Oryctolagus cuniculus: one gene and its partners. The protein of the gene in region 2 interacts with the protein of the main gene of each other region in a pairwise test. Links are inferred from orthologs where the notes say so. Each region holds a gene or a part of one and is shown on either strand. Other genes may lie near its edges. The genes, in order: CYTH1, IPCEF1, CYTH4, CYTH3 and CYTH2.

Region 1 (3,662 bases), on a different chromosome or scaffold from region 2:
CAGGCCAAAGCTGGGAGTCCAGAACCCAGCCTGGGTCCCCGGCACGGGTGGCAAGGACCAAACACCTGAGCCGTCATCCTCCCAGAGTGCACACTGGTGGGAGCAGGAATCGGAAGTGGAGCGGGCCGTGACGCCCAGCACGGCGACGCGGGACGCAGGCACCCCCGGTGGTGGCCTAACCATCGCACCAAAAGCCTCCCTGGGAGCGAGTGCTCCCAGTGCAGAGGGCCGGCTTGTCCGCAGGACAGTCGCTGCTCTGTCCAGAGCAGGAGGACACTTGCTTGTTCAGTCAGCAAACGGGCAGCCCGGCCTCTTCCCGACAGTGTGGCCACGAGACCCGGCCGGGCTGTCAGCGGGGACGCCTGACTCCTGTGTCCCCCGTCCGTGTCTTTTCTTGGCAGAGATGAGTTCAACATCCAGGTTCTTCATGCGTTCGTGGAGCTGCATGAGTTCACGGATCTGAACCTGGTCCAGGCGCTGCGGTGAGTCAGGGTGAGGGGCGGCCTCGGCCAGGCGCTGCGGTGAGTCGGGGTGAGGGGCGGGCCTCGGCCAGGCGCTGCGGTGAGTCGGGGTGAGGGGCGGGCCTCGGCCAGGCGCTGCGGTGAGTCAGGGTGAGGGGCGGGCCTCGGCCGTGTGTCTGTGCTGTGTGCTGTTTGGTTGAAATGATCTCTTTGGAAGTTATTTAAATGTCTTGAAGAGTTTTAAAGGAAAGCAGTCGGTCTTCCTGTAGCTGGAAGTGATTGGATGAGCAAAGGGAAGTAAGTTAAGATAGACCCGAAGCAGCTTCTGCAGCACCCCCACCCACCCCCCCCGCCCCGGTCTCCATCTCGGAAACTGGTGAAAACGCGTACATTTTGAAGTCTTCAGTTTAGAAAACCCTTTTAATTCCCTGCGCTTGTGCATTGCATTTCTTCCTAGAAAGAAACTTTAAATTTTTTTTTTTTTTTGCTAAACTGAGCCTTTTTGCTAAACTGGCGGCCTCATCGTTTGTGGACAACGCCGTCTTGTGCTGTCCGTTAGACAGGTTTCTGTCCGCCGTGGCCTCTCTCTGATGTAAAGGGAGCAGCTCTGAGAGCTGTGGTTTTCCTCTCCTGCCGCGCTGCCTTGTTTTCTGGAAACCGGAGTTTGTTTAAGAGCAGCTCCGTCTGTGTTTCAGTTCTGTGTTGTTTTAGGAGGAGAGCATTCTGTTGAATAGGAAAACCTTCACTTTCCCTAAGTCCTGTACCTTCGATGCTGGCACCGGTGGTCCGGGTGGCAAGTCTGGGGAGAGTCGTGTGACGGGGCTGAAGGCCAGGTCTCTGCCTGTCCCTGGACACTGAGTTCCGGGGGACGTGAGCCGTCTCCAGCCCTGCCCCGCCCTCCCTTCACCCTCAGGCAGTTCCTGTGGAGTTTCCGGCTCCCTGGAGAGGCCCAGAAGATCGACCGGATGATGGAGGCCTTCGCGCAGCGGTACTGCCAGTGCAACCCTGGGGTGTTCCAGTCCACGGGTGAGTGGGACTCGTCCCAGCACAGGGTGCTAACCTCTACCACACCAGGGCTGGGGCCCATGCACACTCCACAGTAGAAAGTCGGAAATGATCCAGAACCCCTGCAGTAGGCACTAGGAATATAATTTGTAGTAACTCAGAACTGTGAAACACAAGGCTATGAAGAATCGTGTTTGTAACACTTATTTTATATATTTGAAAGGCTTTCAGAGAGGGAGAGGGAGAGCGAGGTCTTCCATCCTCTGGTTCCCTCCCCAAATGGTTGCAGTGACTGGAGCTGAGCTGATCTGAAGCCAGGAGCCAGGAGCTTCTTCCAGGTCTCCCACACAGGTGCAGGGGCACAAGCACTTAGCCATCTTCTACTGCTTTCCCAGGCCACAGCAGAGAGCTGGACTGGAAGTGGAGCAGCCAGGACTCAAACCGGCACCCATATGGGATGCCGGCACTGCAGGCCGCCAGTGCCGTAACCCACTGCACCACAGCACCAGTCCTGCTATTAAACCTTGTGAAGAATTTTTACATCCCGGCTAATGATAAGATGAGCAGAAGTGCATATGTGTGTGTCTGATTGCGGTGCTAGTGCAGTGTGTGTCTGTGAGGTGCTTTTCTGATTTCGGACACACAGGCACATTCATGTAGAAGAAATAAAGCAAAATAAGTGAACAGTGGAAGTTTAGGTAATTTGTATTTTCTTTTTAGTTTTTTAAAAGATTTATTTATTTCTTTGAAAGGCAGAGTTAGAGAGAGAGAGGAAGAGACAGAGACAAAGAGAGAGAAATCTTCCATCCACTGGTTCACTCCCCAAATAGCTGCAAAGGGGCCTGTTTGAAGTCCAAAGTCTGGAGCTTCATCTGGGTCTCCTGTGTGGGTGCAGGGTCCCAAGGACTTGGGCCATCGTCCACTGCTTTCCCAGGCCATTAACAGGGAGCTGGATCAGAAGTGGAGCAGCCGGGACTCAAACTGGTGCCCATATGGGACGCTGGCACTGCATACGGCGGCTTTACCCGCTACACCGCAGTGCTGGCCCCAATTATGTTGTTTTTTAAGATTGTCTACAGCATACTCTCATTCTGAGTGAGCGTCCTTTGAGACTAGTGTTCTCTGTACTTTGAGAGGCGCAGCCCAGAGCCGCCCCACGCGTGATCCCCCTCGCCTGCACGCGCAGCCTTTGAGCCCCCGTTTCCCTGGCCGTTCTCACGCTTCTGGGTGGGGTGTGTCTGTGCGCTTGGAGCACACCCAGCCCCCACTCTGTCTCGTCTTCAGACACTTGCTACGTCCTCTCCTTTGCCATCATCATGTTGAACACGAGCCTGCACAACCCCAACGTCAAAGATAAGCCCACCGTGGAGAGGTTCATTGCCATGAACCGAGGCATCAACGACGGAGGCGACCTGCCCGAGGAGCTGCTCCGGGTGAGCCCCGGGTGGCCCTGGTGTCGGTCGCGGGAGCCCCTGGGGTTTAGCGTGGGTCTGTGCTTGCAGGTCGTTCAGCTGTGTGACTTTCCTTAAGAAACGGGTAGCGGGGCCCAGCTAAGGGATTGGGAAGGGGCTGTGGTTTGGTACGGCTTCCTGGTCACCCCCCCGGATGTCTGTGTCTGTCTCGTCACGTGAGCTGCTGGAGGCAGACCTGGCCCCATCCTTCTGCTCGCGGAAGCTGGCAGCCGTGGCTCACTGGAGGCCACGCTCAGTGCTGCTGGAGGGAGTGACGAGGAAGGGGAGGGAGAGAGAGATTCCTGGAGTCAGAGACATGCAGTGTCGTCTTTTATCCAGAATCTGTATGAGAGCATAAAAAATGAACCCTTTAAAATCCCAGAGGATGATGGGAATGACCTCACTCACACCTTCTTCAATCCAGACCGAGAAGGCTGGCTGCTGAAGCTCGGTGAGTCGTCTCTCTGGGCTGGGTTCCTCAGGCAGGGACTAAGAAGGGGAGGCCGTGTGCACACACATGATGGAGGGACCCTGTGCACACATGGTGGGGGAGGCTGTGTGCACATGGTGGGGGGAGGCTCTGTGCACACACATGATGGAGGGACACTGCACACATGATGGGGGAGGCTGTGTGCACATGATTGGGGGAGGCTGTGTGCATACATATGATGGGGGGGCCGTGTGCACTGATGGGGGGAAGCTGTGTGCACACAGATGATAGGGAGAGGCTGTGTGCACACAGATG
Region 2 (4,285 bases):
CCTTGTGTTGTCCTGGTCTAAGCAATTCATGCTTACAAAGAAAGATGGAAGGAGTGATCAGCTTTTGTGCCATGTGGGTTTGGTAGGATCCAAAGGTCATGAAATCCTGTTTTATCATTCGGAGGAAGGAGCACATTCATCAAGTATTGAGAAAAAGAAGGTCATATGTTGAGAAAGTCTACTCCTAATGGGATGAATTGTATGACTCTGTAAATCAAGCTGATTGCTGATACTGTCTGCATGCCGATCATAAGTCAGTGCCTCCTCCTGATTGCTTTGAAGCCTGCTCACGCTGTGACTATGTGAAAAATTTTCCATTTGTTTCCATTTCCACCTAGATTCTGGCTAGTTTTATAGCTTAGGTTTTTGAATGTGTGCTAATTTATCTGTGTCTTGGAGATGGAATGAGAATCATTAGATTTGTAGACCTAAACAATGTGTCTTGGTAATGAAGTGAACCAAGCTGAAGCCAGGAGCCAGGAACTCCATCTGTTTCTCCCTTGTGGGTGGCAGAGATTCAAGATTTAAGCCATCATCTGCTTTCTCCAAGGAGCACTGTCTGGGAATTGAATAATAAATAGAGTCGCTGTGATGGGATTTAGGAATTCCAAGCAGTAGCCTAACCCATAGCACCATAACACCTTTCCAAAGACTTATTTAAATCCTTAACTACTTTTTTTTTTTATTTTACAGGTAGAATTATAGACAGAGAGAGAGAGAGAGAGAGAGAGAAAGGTCTTCCTTCTATTGGTTCACTCACCAAATGGCCGCTACGGCTGGAACTGTGGCGATTTGAAGTCAGGAGCCAGGTGCTTCCTCCTGGTCTCCCATGCAGGTGCAGGGACCCAAGCACCTGGGCCATCCTCCACTGCCCTCCCGGGCCACAGCAGAGAGCTGGACTGGAAGAGGAGCAACTAGGACTAGAACCCAGTGCCCGAGTGGGATGCTGGTGCCGCAGGGCAAGGATTAACCAAGTGAGCCACGGCGCTGCCCTGATCCTTAACTACTTTTTACAAACTAATTTGCATCCTCTATTTAGCAGAGTATTACAAATGATAAGGGTAGAAGAAAGGAGGGAAATTTGAGGGAAGATGGAACCTAAAAGAGGTTGATATTACAAAGTGACAGCAGCACCAAACATCCTGAGAACAGCTCTGCAAATGATCTCACTCCTCATGCCTGTAAATAAACTTCTTTGCTTCCAAAACAGGAAAGCCAAGCCAAGCCAAGCACTATTTTATGCATATGTCTTAGAAATGAACACACTGGAAATGTTTAATGATAAATGGGTCAGACTGATGGGACGTGTCTGCTCTGCATCTATTGTGTCCTGATATTGGAATCAAGAAGGGGTTCAGCGACAATAAGAAGGAAGAACAATAAAATTAAGGAAGTGGAGATGACACTTCCTCTTCTTTTGAAAGAGCTTTTTTTTTTTTTTTTTTTTTTCTGGTCAGCTTCTAATGGGAGTTCCAAGTAGACTGAACCTCCAGAGCTGTGACTGCTTACAGTGGAATAGTCAACCCTTCCTCAGACTATTATGAATTTTCTGAACTTGGCGCCAAAGAGTCAGTTCCTGGATTTCCTACTGCATGTAAGTAAAAAAAATCACTCCTTGATTGTGTATGAGAAGTCCTTGTTTGGCATATCAGGATGGTACAGGATGGACATTCTATCATTATCTCTAGAATAGTGATTTCTAGAATCTTGGGATTTGGCGTTTGCTCAGCTCTTCATACGCCTGCTGCTGTGAAGTGCAGAGCTGTAGACTTTGAGTTAGAGCTGTGCAGGGTAGACTAGTGGACTCACTTTTCTTCTCTATTTTTCTTAAACAAGTGTACTGGTGGCTACTTGGGCTGCTGACCATGGGTTTAATGCAGAAATGCTTAATTCAACATCTGTTAGGGTCCTATCGTAATAGTTTGTGGCCAGACTCTTTGGAGAAAGTGCGTTTTTATGCGGAGAATGCCTCTTTGCAGGCCAACAACTGGAGGGGATTGTACTTTTAGAAGAAGGTCACAGGCTAGACCAGAAATCTCTGGTATGAAAATGAGAGCAAGTTGTTGGCTCAGAGTCTTTTCCTGTAGCGTCTGTGAAAGAATTGAATTTTAGGAAACAGGTGTAGCCCACTGAAGTACTAGAATTCATTCACCTGTAAGGACCTGTTTCTGGTACTGTCCTAGACATTTTATAGTAACACTTAAAGTCTGATTCCTGTACAGTTATTTATTTTGCATAGAACATGGAAATAGAGCTTTACGTATACATCATGCAAGTGAGGTGGGAAAGGAGTTATGCTCGTGCCTTTGTTGATGTACTCATTCACTATTTTGTCTTTTAATTTTATTCCTTCCCTCTCTTTATATATCAAGTGTCTTTTTCTGGAGAGGATAAGTCCAAGCATGAATATTTTAAACAAACCACATTAAGCAAGTATGCATCATCAGTGCATGGAAATAGGAAGCCCTTTCCTGCGGTAGCTGGCTGTGGCAATAAGAGATAAGAAATTACTTCATGACTATTGCCTGAAACTTTCCTTTTGACTTGTGTATCCTTCTTGAATGGCTCACTTCTGCTTTCTGTCCAGCTTGAAGGGAAGGCAGTGCGAGCTGCTAACCCAAGCACAGGTTTGACGATTTGCAAGGAGATTTAGTATGCCCAGTGCCTTACATGTGTAGAAAATCCTAAAAAAGAAGCTTTTTGATGTTGGAGAAAATCCTGCCAATGACAGGATCACCGCAGTTCCAGGGTTCAGAGCAGTGCCAAACAGCATATGCACTCAGTAAGTATATGTTGAATGAATGGAACGGTCGGGATTGTTCATCAAACGAGTGTGGGAGGGTAGCCATTGCTTTGCTTCCCTGGAAGGTACAGGTCGGAGGAGGTCGGAGTGAAGCAGCAGAGGAGGAAACTGGGAAGGTAGGAGGAGAGGATGTCTTACCAGGATGATGCAAAGCCATGGGTCAGGAAAGCGGGAGGGGTGGAGATGTGGTGGTGGAGGTGGATGTGGTGGAGGAGGTGAAGGTGGAGATTCCGGTGGAGGGGAGTTGGAAGTGGCGGTGGAGGTGGCAGGAGAGTTGATGCTGGTGGTGGCTGTGGCAGTGGAGATGATGATGGGGGTTTGTGGGAAAGAGCAAGTAGAAAACATAATTTTGGGTCCAGCACATCTGTTAAAAATCTGCATCTACTACTTATAAGCTCTATGACTCCTGAATCTGTAAGGTGGTGATAATAAAATACTAAGGCTTTCGGGTTGTTGTGTGAGGACAATACAATAACCAAAGCATGATTGCATAACGATTACCAGGTCATGGATCTTTACTGACAGGTAGTTGTCAATACATTTTCCTTTTTAAAATATTATTTCTCTTTTTCTTGTTGTATATGTTCATGAACTTAAATGCTAGTCTGTGACATGCAGCTATTTTTTAAAATAAAGTTTTATTTCTTTTTAAAGCTTTGTTTCTTTACTTATTTGAAAGGCAGAATGAGTGAGAGAGAGATCTTCCATCCCTTGGCTCACTCCCCCAGTACCTGTAACAGCTGACGCTGGGCCAGGATGAAGCCAGGGACTCTGCAGGGGCCATGTGGTCCTTGAGCCATCATCTGCTGCCTGTCAGGTGCACTAGCAGGAAGCTGCATCAGAAGTGAAGCACTCTGATATAGGATATGGGTATCAAAGCAGTGACTTAACGCTCTGCGCCACCATGCCCACCCCTCTTCAGTTTTCAAATCGGTAAAGCCGCCCACAGTTAAAAATTTAGCCACTTATTTGTCTTTTTCCATTGAGGCTTTTTGAAATTTTTCTACATTTTGCAAAATGAACTTGAATCTCTGCCATAGTCTGAATAGTCCCCTCACCCCCAATTTCCTTTTGCAACCTAATAGCCATCACGGTGGTATTAAGAGAAGGGGGAAGTGATGAGGATGTCGCAGGACTTTGCCCGTGGGTTGGATTAATGCCCTTGAAAAAGATGCAGGAGGGATTGAGTGCCGTGCCCTCTTCTGCTACATAAAGATACGGAAAAGAGACCATCCACAGGAACAGGCTCTCACCAGACCTCAGATCTGCTGATGTCCTGATCTTGGACTTCCTAGCTTCTGGAACCATGAGAAATAAATTTCCATTATTTATAAACTACCCGATGTGTGGTGTTTTGTTATAGGAGCAAGAATAGACTAAGACTCATTTATTAGGAACAAATGCTGGGGTCGGCACTGTGGCGTAGCAGGTAAAGCCGCCGCCTGTAGTGACGGCATCCCATATGGGCGCTGGTTTGAGTTC
Region 3 (4,280 bases), on a different chromosome or scaffold from region 2:
GGTGGAGGATTAGCCAAGTGAGCCGCAGCGCTGGCCAAACTAAACATCTTTTAATTCCATTTTCCATGAACATTTCAAAAATGATTTATTTGTTTGAAGGACGGGGTGGAGAGAGAGAGAGAGACTTAACCGCTGTTGGTCCACACCCCAGAGGGCCACAGTAGCCCCTGGCTGGGGCCAAAACCACAGTGGGGAATTGGATCCGGGTCGCCCATGTGACAGCAGGGACCCGGCTACCGGAGCCATCACTGCTGTCTCCCAGGCTGGGCGCCGGCGGCGCGCGGGAGCCAGGAGCCGGAGCCGGGGAATCCAGCCTCTCCGACACGGGGTATGGGAATGTGTTTTAAAATTCAGGTTTGTCTTTTAAAAAAAAATTATTTTATTTTTTTTTTTTTGGGGGGGAGAGCAAGATAGAGAGACCCTGCATCTGTTGGGTCACTCCCCTAAGGCCAGCGACAACCCAGCCAGTAGCCCGGACCCCAGCTTGAGCCGTGGCTGCTGCCCCCCGCTGGGCTCCAGGAGCGGGACTGGAAGGATGGGGCGTGGGCGTCCAAGCAGGGTCTCACCCGCCGCGCCGCACGCCTGCCCTGGGAAGCGGGCACTTCAGCCTGCGTCCAACCCAATGCCGGGCCAAACGCCCCTCCACCAGCATCTGGAAGCGCCCTCAGATTTTGAGGGAGATGCACGTTTTTGCAATAATAATACACACACCAGCACCCCTGCAGAGCCCTGCTGCCTCCTCCCCGCCCCTCATGCTTCTCCTGCCCCGCCCGGCCCCTCTGCACCCCTGACCCCTGCGCCCCTGGGCTGCAGCTGCCTCGTGCCCGCACCGACCGCCGCGGCTCCTCTGCACTTCCCTTTTTGTGACATAATTTTAGACGTCGCTGCGCCTGCCAGGGCAGCTGCCTGACTTCCCCTCCAGGGCAGCGGGCAGTGCCAGCCTGGCGCCCTCTGGGAAGAGGCCCCAGGCCGGAGGGCGCTGGGGGCCGGGGGGCTGCTGCTCACCCCAGCCCAGAGGCCCCGCCCGCGGCTTCCTCTCCCCCGCTGCAGATGCCTCTATTTTTAACCGGCCGTGGCCTCCTGCACCGGTGGCCGCCCAGCCAGCGCTCGCCTTCGGTCACCTCGGGGCTTCCTGGCCTGGACGTGTCCCCAACCACCTAAGCCCCAGGGGCGGGGCCCTAGCTGCTCTCCCACGTCCCAGGTGGGCCCTGGGAAGACTGAGGTGGGAGAGACCCATCCCGGCCATGGGCAGGTGCAGGGCTGGATTCTGAGCCAGATCTGGGGGAGTCTGTCCGAGCCCCGGCTCACCCCCGCTTTGCAGGTCAGGTGGATGAGGGCAGCCACCTACAGGCAGCGAGTCTGGGCTCAGCCTGGGGTAGTGTCCTGCCCACCGAGGAGTATGATCAAGGCTCAGGTGGTCACAGGGCTGTCATTTCCCCTACCCCCTCTTCCAGGAAGTCTACCCAGATCTCCTCTGCCTCCCTGGAGACAGTTGCTTCCTTCCACATTCTGTGGCTGTGTCCACTGACTCATCCGGGTCAGAGCCCTGCAGAACCAGCGCCTCCCTCTGCCCCCCTCACCCCAACACCCTGGACCAGGAGCTCCCTCAGGGGTTGGCCCATAGCTGGGTCACCACTCTACCCCACTTGACACACAGCACCCTGGAGGAGTGTGCAGAGAGTGAATGGCCGAGAGGACGAGCCAACCAGGCAACCGCCTGCACCTGCCACCCACCCACGTCCCCCAGGGCCAGCCTGAAGCAAAGATGAGATCCCTCCTCCCACCCCACTCCTCTGCTCTGGCTCCTCTCCCTGCCCCCGACCTGGGGCTCTCTCCTCCTGGGTTCTTGTCCCTCTGCCACTTACTGGCCACACGGCTTCAGGCGAGTCAGTCCTTGCCTGAGTCTCCTTCCCCCAGGACAGCCAGGCAGGACACAGCCCCGGGCGTCGGGACTCCAAGACCGCAGTCCTGTTGGCTTTCATCTGAAGAAAGGCTTCATTGTTGAGCAAGGTTGAAGCCACCTGGCCCCGGGGACCTGAGTGGCTCCTGCCAGGCGGCACCCCAGGTGCCTTGGGGACATTCTGGGACTGGGTGGGGGGACTTGGTTCCCCCTCTCCCCGTCCCTCTCTCCGCTCCCCAGGACCGTGAGCCTGCCCTGCCCCCCTTGCCAGCGTCCCAGCCTCCTGTCGTCTTCCCTGCACCGCCCTGGGTATGGGGAAGCTTGCGCCTCTCCTCAGCCGCCCCCAATGGCAGAAAGGGGCTGCAGGGTCCCCGTACACAGCCACCATCCTCAGCCTCGTCGCAAGAACAGCGCTGAGCGTTGTACCGGAATGTTCTTGCCCCGGAACCCCCGCGGATCACCCCCTCCCCCACTTCAGGGCTCTGCTCGGGGGTGCTTCCCTGTTTCCCGTCGTCCCTGCCCTACTTTTCTCCTGTGACAGTAAAGTGACATATGCCACATGACCTGTGGCGTGTGCTCTCTCCCACTGTAGCAGGTGCCCCTGCGACCCAGCCTGAGCCCCAGGAGTGCTCATGTTTGCTGCTGCCTCTCCCACCCGTGTCAAGTGCATTCCAGACCGTCTCCTTCCAGGACCTGCAAGGCAGGTGCCGTCACCCCGCCCCTCGGCAGAGGGCGCTCAGGCCTGCAGGGCCCGGGCCCAGGTGCTTACCTGGGTGGCACAGATCCATGGTGAGGCCCCAGGGGCAGCACCTTGCCCCTGACCCTCGGCTGCTCGGCCAGCCCGGCAAGGGTGCGTCACCTCGCCCCTGCAGAGGCCTCTTCCTGCTTACCCCGCCCAGCCCTGCCTGCAGGGAGGAAGTACGTGCAGGCCCGGGGCTCCTGCGCAGGCTCCCGAGGCGGCCGCACTTTCTAAAGCCGGCATCGGGGACCTTTGCATTCGGGGTGCGAGCAGGGAGGTAGCAGCCAATGACACAGATGGGGAGAGGGGAGAGAGAGAGAACAGAGCCACAGGGAGCCTCGCACAGACACGTGCGCACACACGCTCTGAGAATAGAACGTTCTCTCGGGGCCGTGGTATTCATCCTGGGCGGGGGGGTCCCCACACACAAACCAAAGGGTCAGCCTGCTTAGTCCTCCTGGCTGGGCCCCGTGTGTCCTACCCCCGAGGCTCTCGTTCAACTCCCACTGATAAAAAAACATTCAGTGCTAGCTAGAAAGGGCTTGCTTTGCTTCCCTTTAATTAAATGCCTGACTTGTTCCTGTCTGGTGACCAGTTGGTTATATGTTCAGTTTCCCTTTTCCACTAGGCTGCCAGGAAACTCACTATCAAATCTGAAGTTTGTCTATCATTGCTCCTTTTGAACTTTGTAGGCTTCCAATTTTGTGTATTTGTTTTAAAGGCAGAGTGACAGAGGAGGGAGGTAGGGGAGAGAGGGAGAGAGGGAAAGCGGGGAGAGAGAGAGAGAGAAATATCTTCCATCCACTGGTTCACTCCACTAAATACACCAGCCAGGGCTGGGCCAGGCCATAGCCAGGGGCTGGGAAATTCATCCGAGTCTCCCATGTGAGTGGAACTCAGGTACTTGAACATCAACTGCTGCTTGCCAGGGTCACATTCTGGGCTGGAGGTGGAGGGTGAGCCGGGACCCAGGCGCTCTCATACGGGTGCAGGCGTCCCAAGCTGCGGCGCCACAACGCGGGCCCCTGCAGCCGATCCTCGCAGCGTCCGGACAGCGGGGCCAGGCTCGGCTGCTCGACTCTCAGCCCTGCCACTTGGGACCTGGATGAACTCAGGCCTATGGCTTTGTCTGCCTGCTGGGAGCCTCACATTGCTTACCCGTGTGAGGGGAACAACCACACTCACCGTGGGACCTTGGAGAAGACGGAGTGAGACGGTCGCGTGAGACGCCTGGGCCGTAGCAGGTGCTGGATAAACACTTGCCATCCCAGCCCAGCGTGCCCAGGGCCTGGGGCCCGCACCGCCTCCTCCCCTGGCTTAGGGTAGCTCCAGGTAGCTTTGCAGGAGACTTGAACATGATCCCCATGGCACACTCGATTCTACTCCACGCATTTGGGCTGGACACGGCACACTGTGGCTCACACAGAAGGAGCAGTGTGGGGAAAGCCACGGTTGCCAGCATGGCAAAGAGCTCCGTGGCAGGTCCGTGAGTGCCACCCTCGCAGGTCCTGCTGCCCCCGTGGTCCTGAGCTGGCCCCCAGGGCTCTTGAGCTGGAGGGTGGGTACCCAGCCCGGTGGCGGTGGGAAGGGCTGGGATCAGCCAGGGGTGGAGCTGGCGGGCCACGGTCGCCGGGTATTAGT
Region 4 (4,109 bases), on a different chromosome or scaffold from region 2:
ACTAGAACCTGGGGTACCGGCGCCGCAGATGGAGGATTAGCCTAGTGAGCCGTGGCGCCGGCCTGCAGCTCCCACTCCTAAGACATCTAAAACACCAGGAGTTGACGTCGAGACATATTTCACGTTGGTCATATCTGTGAGTTCAACACCCAGGTATCACATTATTGAGTTCAAAGTATGCTATCCTTGGATGCTCTTATCTCTAAGATAACAAACTGATGTGAACAAGACCAGCGTGCCACCTGTGTGGGTGGGGACCTGAACCTGCATCACATTGTCCCTTTGTCACACAAGAGTGGCCCATGGCCTTGGAAGTGCCTGAGCGCTCTGTGTCTTAATTCTTGTTGTTTTCTGCAGGTAGAACTCCTTGGATTCTCTCCACAACCGTGGTTGGCTTAGACAGATGACCCCCTGGGGGAAAAGTCCTTTGACTCAATGAGCGACCTGCAAATATAAAACAGTTGCCAGAGAATTCTATTAGAGATGAGCCATCTCCCCCATTACAAGGTTTGCTTTTCTTTAATGCAATTTAGCTCAAGCAGAAAGGCCAGTTGGGAGGGGCTGCGTTCTGTGCCTTACTGGAAGCCAGACCGGCGGCGAGTGAGGCAGGCGATCCACAGAGATTTGGGGCAGGAAGGAGGGGAGGCGGCTGCCCCACAGGCCTGTGCCCACGGGGAATTGAGTTCAGACCTCCTCCTGTAGCCATAAATCCAGGGCAGCTGGCAGCGATCCAAGAGAGGCTGGCGCTAAACTCCAAGGGCATCCGACGCCACGCCGGCCACCCCCTCCCGCCCTCCCGCCTTCCCTGGGCTGGACCTCAGGTGTGCCCCACTGGGCCTGGGTTTGCAGCCTTTTAAGCAACTGGAGCGCGCACCCGCGGCCGGGCAGGAGCGGAGAGGCTCTACCGCCCCGGAGGAAGCCGAAAGCCTGCAATTATTCTGATGTTGTCTTGGGGTGGGGGGGCCGAAGCGGGGAGGGTCTGACTTTTGGGTGCCTCCAGCTGTTCCCCTGCCCCATCCAAACCAAGCGCACGTGCGAGCTGCACCCCCCCGCCCCCCGGCCACTTGGGTGTGCAGCAGCAGAACGGATCCGTCCCCGTGTTCCAGACCCCACGTGCATCCCGGGGCCCGCACAAGGCGGAGAGGTCTGCCGCCAGCCGCGCGCACGAGGGGGCCTGCACCCCGAGGGTCGCGCCGTCTCGGCCGCCCCAGCTAAGCAGACAGCGCCCGGACCGGCAAGCTCCGAAGGGCGGGGCCGCGACTGGAGGGGCGGGGCCACGGTCACGTGACGGCGCGCCGAGCGGCGAGGCCCCGCCCGGCGGGGAGGAGGCCCGGCCGCGACCCGGGCCGCGCGCTGAGGAGCCGCCCGGCCGTCCGCGCGCTCCCTCCCGCAGGGACCCCAGCTAGCGGCCCCTTGACCGTCGGCCCCGGGCTTGCCGGCTGCGGGAGCGGCTTCACGATGGACGAGGACGGCGGTGGCGAGGGCGGCGGCGGTAAGTGTCGGAGGTGTGGCCGGCCCGCTGGCGGCCTGAGGCCGGGGGTTTGTGGTGGGGGTGGGTTGGCGCGAGCGGACGACCGGGCCGGGGGTCCCGAGCCGGGGGTCCGCCTGCGGAGACGGCGTCCTGGGCTACGCCGGTGCCGGCTGGCGAGCGCGGGAGGCCCGAGGCTGCGGCGCCGGGGACTCCTGGGACGAGGCGGGCCGGGGTCACCACCCAGCACCGAGCAGGGGTCCGGGTGGGGAGCCGGGGCCGCCGCGGGTCGGAGCGCGGGGGTCGCTGTTGTGGGGCGCGGGACCCTGCGGGGCGACCTTTCCCGGCTTGTGGCGGCCAAGGGCGTCCACGCCCTCCGGAGCCCCCCAGCTGTGTGCGACCACCCCCCTGGAAGCCCCCATGTCTCGGGGGGTCGGGAGCTGTAGGCAGTGGGGAGGGGGAAAGTTTTGAATCGGGGCTCTGCGGGAGGGGCACAAGAGGAGGACAGGCTGAGGATCGTGCCCCTTCTCTCGGCTTTAGGTCCGAAGTGGTCTCTGGAATTGCGTTCAGCGAGGGGCCGGGGCAGCTGGAGTCCCGGTCTGCACACGCGTTTTATAAAATAGCAAATGTTACAGAGTAGGCAAAAGAAAGAGCGAACCGAGGCAGCGCAGCAGCCGAGGGTGCGAGTCGGGAGCCACAGCCAGGAGCCGAGGCGGGGAGACCCCCTTTTCCCCCCACAGTGCGTCGCGCCCTGCACAGCCTAGCCCCGGGTGGTCCCTGCTGGACCCTCAGCTTCCTCGTGGTGGTTGAACATGACCGAGTGGAGTCAGATTGCTGTGTGTCATTCTGCATAGCAGGTTTTACAGACAGAAAAATGTGCCTCCCTCTTCGGATGGAATGAGTGGGTCATTGCCTTGGCCAGTAAAGGGTTAACGCCCATCTGCCCTCCCCCCCCCTTTTTTTTTAACAGGGGCACCCAAAGTGGAGGCTCTCTCTACTTTGGCTAACGATCTCTCTCTCTCTTTTTTTTTTTTTGCTGACAGCCGGAGTCATCAGACCCCCATGTAATAAGGGAGCGTTCAGGGAAAAAAAAAATCTTAATTACAGGCTGCGGGAGCAGCTGCCTGTAAGAATCAGCAGTATTGAATGCTTCAGGATGAAGTGGTTAATCAAGGTGCCTTCTAGAATTCAAGTGGGGCTCAGAGGGAGATGTTGTCGCGTGGAGGAAGAAGCCGACGCGGCTGGGATGGTGGGAAGTTGGCGCCCGGCGTGGTTCTTGCTGTGGCCCGAGTGGGTGTGCTGTTTATGGAAGAGGGTGCTGTGGCAAGCAGGAGCCCAGTTGCAAACCCTCCTACAGCCAGGCTGCCCCGTCTGGCAGCGTCAGATCCTAAGTAATGGGTTCCCCGTGGGTGCCGGGCGCCAGCCTATTGCGCTTTGTCGTGGTAGGTTTCCCTTTGTCAGAGAAGAGTGACAAACGACCTGCAGTGTTTAGACGTGTGTAGCTGGCTGGCTTGGCGATTTTATTTGGGAGGTGCTTCTGTGCACTCTGAATGAGGAAATGCAGAAAGATGTGAAGGTAAAAGCAGGTGTAAGGGGGTAGGGGGAGGAAGCCTCTGTGTTCCAGCAATTTATAGAACTCGAGGACTGGGACCGTGACAGCAAGGGATGGTATTAATTATCAGAAGTCTTCAAATTGGGCCATTTGCGTTTCTTCTGGGAATATATCACAAACAACCTTGAAATAAAAAAAAAAAAAATCTTGTGAACGAAGCTGTGTGCCTTCAGCTGTTTGTAAGTTATTGAAAACAGCACTGTCCACCAGTAGGGGATTGGCGAGGTAAATTATGGCAAGTTTATTAGATGAAACATTTTATAACCACTAAAAATAAGCAGTTGTTTTACACATCATACTCTAAACAAAATAAAAGCTGGTGACATTATGGATGTTTTATTTTCTTAGTTTTTATATTTTCCAGGTGTCTGGGATGAGCGTATATTACTTTCAGATTGGCAAAAAGCAGCTTATAGGCAGGCGAATGTTTTGAAGTACAGCATCTAATTCATTCAACAATGAACAGTTATTTATTGATTGCTAAGATGCCAAGCGGCTTGGTGGGTGGTGGAAAGCAACTTTCAGCCTTTATTAATTTGATTTATTAAAATCATCCTTCCTTCCGTTGTGGAAGACATTTAAAAATATGTTTGGCAATCTTAGGATTAAGTATTTCTTTCAAGTGAGAATCTTTGAGAATTTGAACTGAGTCTTTATGTGGTGGTTATTGAATAAGCTGGATGTGCTCACATTTTTTTTTTTTTTTTAAGATTTATTTATTTGGAAGGGAGAGCTACAGAGAGGTAGAGAGAGCGAGCGGGCAAGTGCGAGAGAGGTCTTCCATCCGCTGGTTCACTCCCCAGATGACCGCAACGGCTGGAGCTGAGCTGAACCGAAGCCAGAGCCGTGAGCTTCTGGGTCTCCCACGTGGGTGCAGGGTCCCAAGCATTTGGGCCTTCTTCCACTGCCTTCCCAGGCCTCAGCAGAGAGCTGGATAGGAAGTGGAGCAGCCGGGACTGGAACCAGTGTCCATATGGGATGCCGGCACTGCAGGCAGTGGCTTTACCTGCTATGCCACAGCGCCAGCCC
Region 5 (4,169 bases), on a different chromosome or scaffold from region 2:
GCTCTGGGCTTCTGGCTTCAGCGTGGCCCAACCCTGGCTGTTCTGCCTAGGTCTCTCTCTGCCTTTCGAATAAAATGAAAATTAAAAATACTTCTTCTGAGGTTTCTAAACAGGTCTGGTGGTTGCTACGGGCTTCTGGTGCCACGTAGGAAGGTCAAGAAGCTCAATGCCAACACGACGAGCGAAGAGGGCGCCTGGATACGGCCGTGCCTGGAGGAGGCTCACTCATGGACTTTGGCATTACAAGAAGCAATCAACTCCCTAGTTTTGTGTGGGGTGGGGCTCACCACTCCGGACTAAGGAAAGTGACTTTCTGCCCCCCCGACCCCTCCCCTCACCTGAGGGCCTGCACCAGATTGAGGTCGGTGAACTCATGCAGATCCACAAAAGCATGGAGCACGGCCAGGTTCAGCTCCTCCCTGCGAGCACAGGACAGTCACACACACAGGAACGCACAGGGGGCACTGGGGCAGCTGGCCCTCGGCAGGGAACGCGGCTTCCCGCCTGGCCCCACGGCAGGGCTGCTCAAGTTTAGCTGCACCGTTGCTGGGAGACTCGCACCCACCACCCACGCCACCTCCTGCCCCCTCAGACGACCCCACACTCCCCAGATGTGGACACGGTGCCCTGGCCCCTAGACGTGCACCCCAGTGGCCATGAAGGCCTGCCAATGCCCCCCGCCAGCCACATGCTCCCCAGCCATCACCCAGCTGCACATCGCCTAGATGTCCACGGGGTCCGTGCTCCCTAGGGGCCTGCCACGCGTCCCCACACTCCCTGGCTGGCCAGACAGCTCCCACGCACACCTGCAGCCCATGCCTGGTTCTCCCACTCCCGTGATGCTCCTGGATGCTCTCTATAAGGGGACCCCCGTCTTGGGCGCTGGCAGGCCGCCCACACCCAGACACACACACTCCGCAGCAGTCCGGTCCGAGGGCCAGTGTGCAGGGGCCCTGCCCAGGGAGCGAGGCCGGCAGGCATGAAGGGGCTCACCTCTCCCCCAGGTAGTCCCCGATGGCTGTCTTGTTCAGCCCCTCACCCTTGTACAGGAAGCGGGCGATCTCCTCGGGGGTATTCTGCAGAAGTTCATTCTCCACCAAGAACTGGATCCCCTGGCGGGCGAGAGCGGGCTCTCAGTGCCCGGGGCCAGGCCGTCACAGGTGCCTGGACCTCAGCCTCCCTGTCCCTGCCTGGCTAGGTCCACGCTGAACACCTGCTTGCTGAGTGACGGTGTCAGTGGGCAGCAGTGGTGGACACCGAGCCCCAGGCGGCCTGGAGGCTCCTCGGCGCCCTCTTGGCCGTGCAGCCCCTACGCTGCAGCTACAGCTCGTTCTGGGCGGTGGGTCTGTGTCCAGGGCCTCTCCTCCCTGGGTCCCCAGCTCCGCCCGGCACAGGGTCGGGCCCTCGGGAGGCACTGGAAAACGGGTGTTAAATGAACGACTGGGTGAGCAATGCTGGGCCAGCGTGCGCGTCCCGGCTGCTCCACTTCCAAGCCACCCGCCTGCTAACGTGCCGGGAAGGCAGCAGATCATGGCCACGTCCTTGGGCCCCTGCACCTGTGCGTGAGACCCGGAAGAAGCTCCTGGCTTTGACCTGGCCCAGCCCTGGCTGTTGGGACCTCCCTCCCTCTCTTTCCCCCTTTTAAAAAAGTCTTTCCTCCAACTGGTGAACGCCTCTCCATCCTCCAAACCTAACCTGGTCTCCTCCTCGGGGCAGCCCCCCAGGCTCCCCGTTTGGCTGTCCACAGCCTGGTGTCTGGCGCCTCCCCAGAGGTTGGACTGCTCAGGGCTCACAGCGCAAGCGGACAGCCAGTAGCTGAGTCCAGGGACTGGGGACAAACCTGCTACAACCCCCCGCCCCCCGGCAGCACCCAGCCCTTGGCCCCCGGTACCTTCTTGGGGTCCATGTTGAACTTCTTCCTGCCCATTGCCATCTTCCGGTTCCGCTGCAAGGTCTTACTGCAGGGGACACGAAGCAGGGCGGGGGCGGCGGCCCAGGGTCAGGCCTGGCGTCCTGGGCCGGCCTGGCTCGGGCCGCCCGCCCCGGGCCCGGCCCTCACCTGCCCTCGTTGGCCTCCAGCCCCTCCACCTCGCTCATGGCCTCGCTGAGCTCCTCCCGCAGGCGCTGGATCTCCACGAGCAGCTCCTGCTTCCGCCGTCGGATGTTCTCCAGCTCCATCCGCTCCTCCGGCGTCAGGTCTGGGGGTTCTGCGGGGCCGGGGTCGGGGTGCCGAGGGTCAGCCCTGGGGCCGGGAGCCTGCATGCTTGCAACGTGGGGCGAGACGGGGCTGGGGCAGGACGCAGGTGAGGCGCCTGCCTCGGATGAAGGGGGCACTAGCAGCCTGGACCGCTCAGGCCAGGGCTGAGGCCGGGAGTCCCGGGGGGGGCGGGGGGGCTTAGGGCCCGGCCCCCAGAGTCTGAGGGGGAACCCGCGTGGGAGCCTCGGCCTCCGGGTCCATTACTTGGAAAGCGGCCGTGGTGTTCTGATTCCATTACTGGCGCGGCGGCCGGGGGGCCCGGGGGAAGATGGGCCTGGGTCTTCGGAAGCCCTGGGTCCAAGGGAAGTGACCACGGCAGGAGAAGCCGACGGCAGCCCGCGGAGTCGGGACGGCGCGGCCGGGCCTCGGCGGACCCGGCAGCCCCCACGGCCTCCCCTCCCCGCCCGCCGCTGGGCTCGCCCGGCCCCTCCGGCGGGAATGGTTCCGCCCCGGCCTCGCCTCCGCCGCGCCATCCCGCCCCCTCCCGCCGACGCCGGAAACGGGCTCGGCCCAGACAATGGCCCGGAACGCCCCGCGCTCGCGGACCCCGCCGGAAGCCCGCCCGGCGCCCCGGCCAGCGCGGCGGCGACGGCGGCGCCGAGGACCCCGGGCGGCGGGCGCCGGGCGCGAACGCCGGCGGCGGGGCGTTCGCCAGGGAACGCTCCATCCGCTCCACGGCCCCGCCCCTCCGGCCTACCGTAGACGCCGTCCTCCATGGCGGCGAGGAAGGCCCGCGGGGAGTCCGGGGCGGTCCCGCCAGTCGGGCCTGGATCCGCGCTGGCCCGCGGGCTCGGGTGAGCCCGCTCAAACGCCCCGGGAGCCACCGCCGCCTCCTCAGCGCCAGTCCTCAGCGCTGAAAAGACTCTCCCTTCGTCGCCCAACCGCCCGGCCGGTAGGGACCGCCCCTCGTCTTGACACCGCCCAATCCGCGGCGACCCCTCCGGGCTGCACCGCCCCCCGACGCCAAAGGACAGTCCGCCCAGGCCAATAGGCACACAAGAAACAGGTGTTAGGCATGTCCGGCCGGAGGTAGACAGCCAGGGGGCCCAATCGGGGTGCGGGCAGGGCGCCAGGCCCCGCCCCCGAAACAAAAGAATGCCCTTGGCAAGCCTGTCCACCAATGAGAAGCCTCGCAAAGGCGTTGTGAGGAGGTGGGGCTGTGCGCGAGCGGAGAACACTGAGCCTGCGCAAGGACTCGGGGCGCGCGGAGTCTGGGTCAGTCGAGCCCCGCCTCTCAGCACGTTGCCAGGGGGCGTTACTTTGTTAGTCCTGTTGCTAGGGGGCGGGGCCTAGGCCGTGAGCCACACCTCCCGGCCGGCCACGCTGGCTTTGGACCGCCGCGGTTGCCGCGCAACCATGAGCGGCTTCGCCGGCCTTTTGCCTCGCGTCTCCCTTGCTACGTGCAGACCCTTCCCTTAACGCCCCACATGACCACTCCAGCCGCTTCAGGGTCAGGACGTAGTGAAATGGAGTTCTGTCAAATGCTACACTCCCGGGTACCGGTCACGCAGAATGGGACGTTAGGGACAGCACCGGCTCCGCCCTCTTTCCTAAGCCCCTCCCCTTAGCGTAGCATCCTCCCTCCGAGTCTCTACCTCTTTCTCTTTTCTCTGCCGCCTCTCTGCTTTCTCTCCCCCGACTCCGGCTCTGCTCTGTTCAGGCATCCCCCACCCCGACCCTCTCAGACTCCCCCCGCGCCCCAGGCCCTCCCGTTCCACAGCCCCGGCCGGGGGTGGCAGGTGCGCAGGTCCCGCCTGGACAGAACCGCCGAGCCCCTGTGAGTGGTCAGACCACGGGGACTGAAGTCTCTGGGCCTCACCTCATTTGCCGTCCCTGGGCTGGGCGGGCGGGGACGGATTCGGGGCCAGGACCTGGTTAAGCCGTTGGATTAGACATGGAGCCTTTTAATCCC

What was found.
Region 1: the proteins of IPCEF1 (region 2) and CYTH1 interact in binary tests that used the Homo sapiens proteins (3 or more experiments, as listed by UniProt). The link is inferred for Oryctolagus cuniculus from reciprocal best matches to the Homo sapiens genes IPCEF1 and CYTH1.
Region 3: the proteins of IPCEF1 (region 2) and CYTH4 interact in binary tests that used the Homo sapiens proteins (3 or more experiments, as listed by UniProt). The link is inferred for Oryctolagus cuniculus from reciprocal best matches to the Homo sapiens genes IPCEF1 and CYTH4.
Region 4: the proteins of IPCEF1 (region 2) and CYTH3 interact in binary tests that used the Homo sapiens proteins (3 or more experiments, as listed by UniProt). The link is inferred for Oryctolagus cuniculus from reciprocal best matches to the Homo sapiens genes IPCEF1 and CYTH3.
Region 5: the proteins of IPCEF1 (region 2) and CYTH2 interact in binary tests that used the Homo sapiens proteins (3 or more experiments, as listed by UniProt). The link is inferred for Oryctolagus cuniculus from reciprocal best matches to the Homo sapiens genes IPCEF1 and CYTH2.

The regions. Positions count from the first base shown.
Region 1 is NC_091448.1:2,963,888-2,967,549, forward strand, and holds part of CYTH1 (cytohesin-1), read left to right. Parts: intron 1-401; coding exon 402-482; intron 483-1,374; coding exon 1,375-1,487; intron 1,488-2,750; coding exon 2,751-2,899; intron 2,900-3,256; coding exon 3,257-3,368; coding exon of another isoform or gene 3,369-3,369; intron 3,370-3,662. UniProt on the Homo sapiens protein: Promotes guanine-nucleotide exchange on ARF1, ARF5 and ARF6. Promotes the activation of ARF factors through replacement of GDP with GTP.
Region 2 is NC_091436.1:13,312,832-13,317,116, forward strand, and holds the start of IPCEF1 (interactor protein for cytohesin exchange factors 1), read left to right. Parts: upstream 1-1,427; 5' UTR 1,428-1,594; intron 1,595-2,372; exon of another isoform or gene 2,373-2,782; intron 2,783-4,285. UniProt on the Homo sapiens protein: Enhances the promotion of guanine-nucleotide exchange by PSCD2 on ARF6 in a concentration-dependent manner.
Region 3 is NC_091442.1:114,279,887-114,284,166, reverse strand, and holds the start of CYTH4 (cytohesin-4), read right to left. Parts: upstream 2,823-4,280; 5' UTR 2,689-2,822; coding exon 2,670-2,688; intron 1-2,669. UniProt on the Homo sapiens protein: Promotes guanine-nucleotide exchange on ARF1 and ARF5. Promotes the activation of ARF factors through replacement of GDP with GTP.
Region 4 is NC_091450.1:40,180,012-40,184,120, forward strand, and holds the start of CYTH3 (cytohesin-3), read left to right. Parts: upstream 1-1,307; 5' UTR 1,308-1,458; coding exon 1,459-1,492; intron 1,493-4,109. UniProt on the Homo sapiens protein: Promotes guanine-nucleotide exchange on ARF1 and ARF6. Promotes the activation of ARF factors through replacement of GDP with GTP. Plays a role in the epithelial polarization.
Region 5 is NC_091449.1:8,592,681-8,596,849, forward strand, and holds the start of CYTH2 (cytohesin-2), read right to left. Parts: upstream 2,941-4,169; 5' UTR 2,925-2,940; coding exon 2,462-2,924; intron 2,208-2,461; coding exon 2,060-2,207; intron 1,959-2,059; coding exon 1,892-1,958; intron 1,113-1,891; coding exon 994-1,112; intron 420-993; coding exon 339-419; intron 1-338. UniProt on the Homo sapiens protein: Acts as a guanine-nucleotide exchange factor (GEF). Promotes guanine-nucleotide exchange on ARF1, ARF3 and ARF6. Activates ARF factors through replacement of GDP with GTP.